Schizosaccharomyces pombe: one gene and its partner. The protein of the gene in region 1 purifies or fractionates together with the protein of each later gene. This does not show direct contact. Each region holds a gene or a part of one and is shown on either strand. Other genes may lie near its edges. The genes, in order: mnh1 and fal1.

Region 1 (3,721 bases):
CCAGAGTTCATTTTGGACGTTGTTATACCAACCTCCATGGAATCTATTAGTTCACAAGCCTTCACAAATCTGGTCGGAGGAATCAGGTTTGCTTTTCTTGACCGATTATAGATGGCCCAAGCCTGGGTCATGGTAACCGTATCGGTATCAGCTTTTAACCTTGTGCGTAAAACTTCTGAGATACTTTTACATAGTTCAATATCATACAATCGAGAATTAGCCGAAACAGGAACATTATCTAAATGATTTCCTCGTAACACTCCTAACTGATTCGATTTGTTTAAAAGCTGCTGTACCTTGTCAGACTGTTGAGTGCCGGTCAGCCCATCCATCTTTTCAGCAAATTGGTCAGCCAGAGACATAGTATCTTTCGCTAAAGAAAAAAAAGCATCTAAATCTTGAAACGCATGTACTAAGGTACGTCCATTTTTGGCTAATTGCATCTCATGAGATTGCTCAAGATCATGAATACCACCCATTCGCAAAGACTTTTCAAGGATGGCCTTCCTCAGAACTTTAGTATCATATTTATTCGAGTATCTTTGTTTTTCTATTTCATCTGTTTCAGATTTGATAGCTTCGTAAAACTTGGATGAACCCGAGCCTCTAAACGAGAGTTGTATAAGCTGGTTTCTATCGACATTTTTTAATTGATTGCCGCAAATTTCACAAGTATTCAGATCCGGATAATTTTGAAAAGTACACGCGGTGCATAATCCTTGAGAAAAACGCGCATCTGATTTCGGCTTTATAATAGTAAATCGGTTAGCAACTCCACAGTTTCTACAAGGATTAATGGGATCACCCACATTGATAAATGTACAAATTTTGCAAGCCCATGACTTTTCCACATGTCGCAGAGAAAGGCGAATTTTTGGGGAGGAGCGAAAATACCTAGAGGTATGCTGTACATCTCTTATATCGGAGATTTTAATTTTTAATGAATTCTTTTTAGGATCTACTGAATCTACGTAGAAGATGTGTTTTTTTGTCAAATATAATGTTCCATTATTATGACGAAAACTTTTCTCATCTCCGAAGTATAAACCTACCTGGTCTTGAACTAGCAAAATTTCTTCTGAAGGATCCAAAACCGGTAGATTAGAAGGGGTTGTTTCTAAATAAAAGGCCATATTAGAAGGAGAGATTAACCAAAATGATAATTGTCAAGTGAATTAAAACTTATATAACATGTCATGTGCCTTGGTTAACTAGTCGAGACCAACAATTGATTTGAGATAATCTGTGAGTACGACTTTCGCTTTATTTAGCTACCTTTAAAAAAAATATTTTTGGATGACAGCTGTGAATGTCGATATATAAATAACATAAATGAAGCCTGTCAAAAGCTCGATTTAATATGTTACAATAAAAAAATCAAACCGTAGTCTTAATAAAAAACAACCCAAGGATCACAAACTAGCGATAAAAGATGCAACAGTGCCAGAATAACTTTTGTAAATGCAGTGAAATAAGTCGTGGAACGTTAAAAGGTCCCAGAAAAATAACTTGTCAAGATTTAACCTGAATTTGGAAAAAGCCTTTAAGGAATTAAAAGACTTTGATTTACAGATATAGACTTAGCAGTCAATATATAATGTCAACGAATTCATCAAAGATACACTGTATATTGAATTACCCACGAACTTTGATTGTCGAGCTCCAAAAATTGGATGCACTAGTGTATTGTGTTATTTAAAATAGTGAATCACTATATGCTTCGTATCTTTGACCAAGAGTTTACCTCTCAGCAGTAGTCATCGAAGCCATCATATTCCTATTTGCTCGAAAATGAGTGATTTTTATGTTCGATACTAGTATGCAAAAAAGCTGTAAATAGTTTTGAATGCTAACTGACTGAAGCTCGGGACACCATGGTCGATTCGGACACGAGTTCTTGGGTACGCGATAATATTAGACGCAAGGTCGCGCAGCTAACCAAACATTTGCTAGAATTCGATTATCATAGTGATGGGCTAGGTATGAATAGAGTCAACAATTTTCTGATTCATATTAGCAACAGTGGTTTGACATGAATACTAATTCAATTAGCTAGATACGCAAACAATTCTAACTATCGGAACGATTCGTTAATCCGAAAGGAGAGTATGTTTTAGTACTACATTTCTGTTCGATCGTATTAACAAAGCCTTAAAGTGTTCGTCAGTGAGCTTGTTTTAAAAGAAGTTCAACGTATTGTAGATGACAGTGAGATCATAAAGCAAGTCATTTCTTTCAATTTTTTATACTAACTACTATTTAGAGAATCAGATGAAAGTTGGCCACCTGAAAATAAAGATGGTAAGCAGGAACTTGAAATTCGTATGAATGGAAAACACATCATGTTTGAAGTAAGATTGCTCTTCATTTGGCATAAATATATTCATTCTAGATACTTTTAAGCTAATATAAACTACTAGACCTGTAAACTTGGAAGTTTGGCAGACGTTCAAAATAGTGATGATCCAGAAGGGCTAAAAGTTTTCTACTACCTAATTCAAGATTTAAAAGCATTGTGCTTTAGTCTCATCTCCCTAAATTTTAAGCTCCGACCTGTTAAAAACTAGATGCATTCCATTTTCTTATATATTAGGGCGAAAAAGTTTTATGTGAAACATTGGTTTACTATTTGGGTTTGATTACCTTTGTTTCGTTTCTAAATGTACAGTCTCAAAGCTGAAAAACGTTCGAGCTTTAGGAAGGAATTTCAGTTTTTATGCTAAATTAACCGTATTGCACTTTTAATTCCATATCATAAGCGGTTAAGAATTGACTATTTATTTGGGAACATCTTAGAATATGGCAACCATTCCATGGTAGTCGCGTTACAAAATCTTTTTTTCAATAAGATATCAAAAAAATCTTGAAATAATTTTAGCTATATTAAATAGACACTATTTGTATAGTAATGAGCGATTCACTTATTTTGTCTCAATAATATTCTTCATTTAAATAAGAGAAAAAAAAGGTAAAGTATTTCTTATTGTAATTAAAAAAAAAATTTCAATGTCTTGAGCACTGTAGTGACATGGTGTCATTTACAGAATTGGCATTTCTATTGATGCCATAGTATCGCCTATTTAGCTGTTAACCTTTCTCGAAGACATGATATGTTATATATGACCTTGGTTGATCAATTGAAGAGCTTTGTTTACCCTTGAACATATCTGTAAAACTGGATGCAGTCGATGAAGGAAATTTGCGTTCCGCCAACATGCCGGATTTATCACTCTACAAACAGACTGTAGATTTATACCTTTCCATTGCTCCTGGACACAGCAGGGATCCTTTAAATGCTATTCAGGAGCATATGGATAGTATGATTCTTAGCAAACTCCCAAGAATCAATGGAATAGTGTTGGCGTACGACAATATTCGATTCCTGGAAAAAAGTGCAAAGGTCATGTATGACTCCCCATTCTCCTTTATATGGGTCCGTGTAGACGTTTTAGTATTTTCTCCCAAAAAAGGCGATTGTTTAGGTATGAAATGCTTAGAAATTCGAGATTCTATGATGGATTTGTATCATGATAATTCAGTCGTGCAAAATTTTATACCAACTCCAAAATAAATGCTAACTATCACTAGAAGGAAAAATTAATTTAGTCAGTCCAAGTCATATTGGTCTATTAATTTTGGGTATTTTTAATGCATCTATTCCGCGAAAATCTATACCTAAAGATTGGATTTTTATTGAGCCCGATACTACGGAAGAACAAGG
Region 2 (3,905 bases), on another chromosome or scaffold:
TTCTTCTACTCAACGTGTTCTTTGAATCTGCTTTGACCGGTACTTTGGTTACTTTTCCGGTCATGATAGATTCTACATGACTTTTGTCTTCAATAAAAGGCCTTATGATATGCTTTTTATCCGTCTGTATGGTTGTCTTCGGCTTGCATCTTTCAGTAATATTCATTTTAGTAACTCCAGATGTCGTGAGTTTATGATGTTTGTCAGCATCGCGAATAGAATACGATGTAGTAGAGGATCGTGGCAGTGTCTCTTTGCAAAATGAAAAACTATCTTTAGTTTCGCTTGTTGTATCCAACTGCTTACTATAAAAATCCAAAGCTTGAATAACTGCTTTCGGCTCCTCCATGCATTCTTGTTTGGTAATCGAACTACTCTGAAGTAGCAATATCCACTCCTTGGGTAATCCGACATAATTTCCTTCATTATCAATTCCCACATGCACTTGGTGTTTAGGATTCATCGGACTTGAAACTTTGCTAGCAAGCGCACGAGAAGATATTAAATCCATCCACTCATAACATTCCATATTATCGGCCACGGACAATTCACAAGCTTGAATCTCAAAATTTTTGGTACTACTTTTGAACCTCAATTTAAAGCAGAATGTCCTAGACTTTGAACGCTCTACTTTTTGAATATCCTTCAACAGCAACGTAACCTGAGCACTTTCAGACTTGCTTCCTTTATATATCGACAGAGAATTGCTAGAAAGTACTAGCCACTTTTTAGTCCAAGGGAGATACTTCATTTTATCTTCCTTCAGCATAACCCATCCTGATCGAATGATTCCCTTGCTTTTCTTTGTATCTTTGAGAGATGGAATTTCAACCGGCACGCCTCTTACACTTAAAAGCATTTTGAAAACGATGCAATAGTTTTGGTATACATGCTTCTTTTATACATTTTAGCTCAAATGTATAAACAAAGAAACCCCATTTATAAACAAAGAGAATGCAAAAAACAAAGAAATGTTATGAAAAGAGAAGTCAATTGACGTCAACAGTAGTGGATGAAAAGTAATTCTTAATTAATTAGATTAAGTCTTACAATTGCAATTTGCAATCTTATCGCAAGCGAACATGACATTGGTTACAAGATTCATGACAACGCTCACAAATGTAAACTGTGTATAGCATTTATAATATCTGAGAGTGATTTTAGGTAATTTTTAGCATGGAAATGTATAACTGAATTTATGCGAAGTGGTGGGCAATTCTGGTTAGGAAACATTAATTGATAATGGGTTTTGACTAGCCGATAATTTGCATGTTAGTGCTAGGAGAACTTAGATTGCTAAAACGGAAATTAGTATAACAATTCTAGGACGAATTGAAATGTTGTTTAGACTCTTAAGGGTGGTGTTCAACCATTGCTCCAGTTGTAGAAAATTAATGTAAGACTCTCATAATTTTTTCGTGTAATGTCTAATTCTAAGAAACCGCTAGTTTACTTTTTATACCATTATCTAACAAGTTGGGAGTACTGAAAATAAACAACATGTGAATAATAAGTTCATCTAAACTTCTTGTCAATATTTAATAAAGCTTTCCGTACAATTGAAATTTTTTAAAGGAATATTCTTTTATTTTTGTAACTAACCAAGCTTTCTATTTGCTTGTCAAATTTTCTCTCCTTCATTTTCCTCAAGTTGGGCTGACATAACATAACTACTACAACTTCCATTATGGCGGACGAAATAATGGAGAACGTGGAGCTTACGACATCGGAAGATGTGAATGCTGTATCCTCTTGTAAGTAAATTATATTTTTTTATAATATGAATACTTACTGTGAATGATGCTAACATTGTTTTGCAGTTGAGGAAATGAATCTTAAAGGTTAGTTAATGAATTGATAAAAATTTCCATAATTTTGTTCTAACAACATGCAGAGGATTTACTTCGTGGAATCTATGCGTATGGCTATGAGACTCCGAGTGCTGTGCAAAGCCGGGCGATTATTCAAATCTGTAAAGGGAGAGACGTTATCGCACAAGCTCAATCTGGTACAGGGAAAACAGCAACTTTTTCTATTGGTATTCTTCAGTCGATCGATTTATCAGTCCGAGATACTCAAGCTTTAATACTTTCTCCTACGAGAGAATTGGCAGTTCAAATCCAGAATGTTGTACTTGCATTGGGTGACCATATGAACGTTCAATGTCATGCTTGTATAGGCGGCACATCCGTTGGAAATGACATCAAAAAATTGGATTATGGACAACACGTTGTTTCTGGCACTCCTGGGCGCGTAACGGACATGATTCGTAGACGAAATTTGCGAACTCGCAATGTTAAGATGCTTATTCTTGATGAAGCGGATGAGCTCTTAAATCAAGGCTTTAAGGAACAAATTTATGACATTTATAGATATTTACCCCCTGGTACACAGGTGGTAGTTGTGAGTGCTACCTTGCCTCAAGACGTGTTAGAAATGACTAACAAGTTTACCACTAACCCTGTTCGAATATTGGTCAAGCGCGATGAACTTACTCTTGAAGGCTTAAAACAGTACTTTATAGCAGTTGAAAAAGAGGAATGGAAGTTTGATACTCTGTGTGATTTATATGATACTTTAACCATTACACAAGCTGTGATATTTTGCAATTCTCGTAGGAAGGTTGATTGGTTGACGGAGAAAATGCGAGAAGCTAACTTTACCGTTACCAGTATGCACGGTGAGATGCCGCAAAAAGAAAGAGACGCTATCATGCAAGATTTTCGACAAGGAAATAGTAGGGTTCTCATATGCACAGACATATGGGCAAGAGGAATTGATGTTCAGCAAGTTTCATTAGTGATCAATTACGATCTTCCTGCAAATCGAGAAAACTATATACATCGCATTGGTCGCAGTGGACGATTTGGTCGTAAAGGTGTAGCTATTAATTTTGTTACAAATGAAGATGTACGCATTCTTCGGGATATTGAACAATACTATTCTACTGTTATAGATGAAATGCCTATGAATATAGGAGATATGGTTTAAATTTTCCATTGGAAAAAAAAAGCTGGTTTTTTTTGGATTATTGTACAGATTTGGGGGAAAACTTTAAAATAATAACTGTATATTTAAATTAATTTCCATTTATGTTACCCAAAACTTTCTATGCGTATTTTTTTGGTGTCATTTAGATCATAATTTTTTGGTTGTAAGATCCTGCAAAAGAAAAGTATTAGCATTTTCTCCTAATAATAAATAATCTGAGCATTCGTAGCAATTCAATATTAGATGAAACCTCAAAACTGATTTGCAATTTGTTAAAGCCAAGCTTGCCAAAGTTGATCCATTTGCGCCAGCTGCTGAGGATTAGTTGCTTGAGATACTAAATCCACCAAAGTCTGATTCAGTGGAAGGTCCTCTGGTACATTATGAGATATGACCGATATTCGACGAAATAATAATTCAACATTTACTTTCACGGTTTCGAACAGCTGGATTCCCTGAGGAATTGGCTTTCTTTGCTGCTTGGACCACCAGAAAACTTCATCACGAACATAAAGACTTAGATACTGCTTTATATCAGTAGTAGGACTTGATAGACTTTGCGCAATGCTCATTACTAATCCCGAAAGTAATCCTTCAACTCCCAAATCAGAAATGAGGTATTGTATTGGAGGCGTTAATCTAAACGGAACAGCCTCAGTATTGTGAAATACAGGTTGGTTGGAAGTCATAGAAGGTAAAAGGTCTTGCGACATCACCTGGCCAGAATCCTTCACTATGAACAGCTTTTGAGGGGATCGACCTCCAATATTGAATACATAAGTCATAATAATCATGTAAGCATATTGCGTTGTAAATGTCCTGCGGAAAAACCAAAAGTCACAGTACCTTTCAAAGGTTTTATAAAAGTAGTCATAGTATATGCTTTCAGGGAAAACTGATGAATTCAGTGTTTC

The links.
Region 2: the proteins of mnh1 (region 1) and fal1 purify together in Schizosaccharomyces pombe (affinity purification with western blotting, with the first as the bait; one study listed by BioGRID). This does not show direct contact.

Annotation. Positions count from the first base shown.
Region 1 is NC_003423.3:4,000,724-4,004,444, reverse strand, and holds mnh1 (protein mago nashi), read left to right. Parts: upstream 1-1,749; 5' UTR 1,750-1,791; coding exon 1,792-1,817; intron 1,818-1,863; coding exon 1,864-1,901; intron 1,902-1,953; coding exon 1,954-1,980; intron 1,981-2,052; coding exon 2,053-2,106; intron 2,107-2,157; coding exon 2,158-2,221; intron 2,222-2,263; coding exon 2,264-2,351; intron 2,352-2,420; coding exon 2,421-2,567; 3' UTR 2,568-2,916; downstream 2,917-3,721. Other genes in the region: ESCRT II complex subunit Vps36, read right to left, coding at 1-1,133; DNA-directed RNA polymerase I complex subunit Rpa43, read left to right, coding at 3,215-3,482, 3,589-3,721.
Region 2 is NC_003424.3:270,106-274,010, reverse strand, and holds fal1 (ATP-dependent RNA helicase), read left to right. Parts: upstream 1-1,668; 5' UTR 1,669-1,687; coding exon 1,688-1,754; exon of another isoform or gene 1,755-1,820; coding exon 1,821-1,841; exon of another isoform or gene 1,842-1,894; coding exon 1,895-2,991; 3' UTR 2,992-3,118; downstream 3,119-3,905. Other genes in the region: PAK-like kinase Shk2, read right to left, coding at 1-859; phosphatidylinositol kinase-like protein Tra2, read right to left, coding at 3,264-3,905. UniProt on the Schizosaccharomyces pombe protein: ATP-dependent RNA helicase involved in 40S ribosomal subunit biogenesis. Required for the processing and cleavage of 35S pre-rRNA at sites A0, A1, and A2, leading to mature 18S rRNA.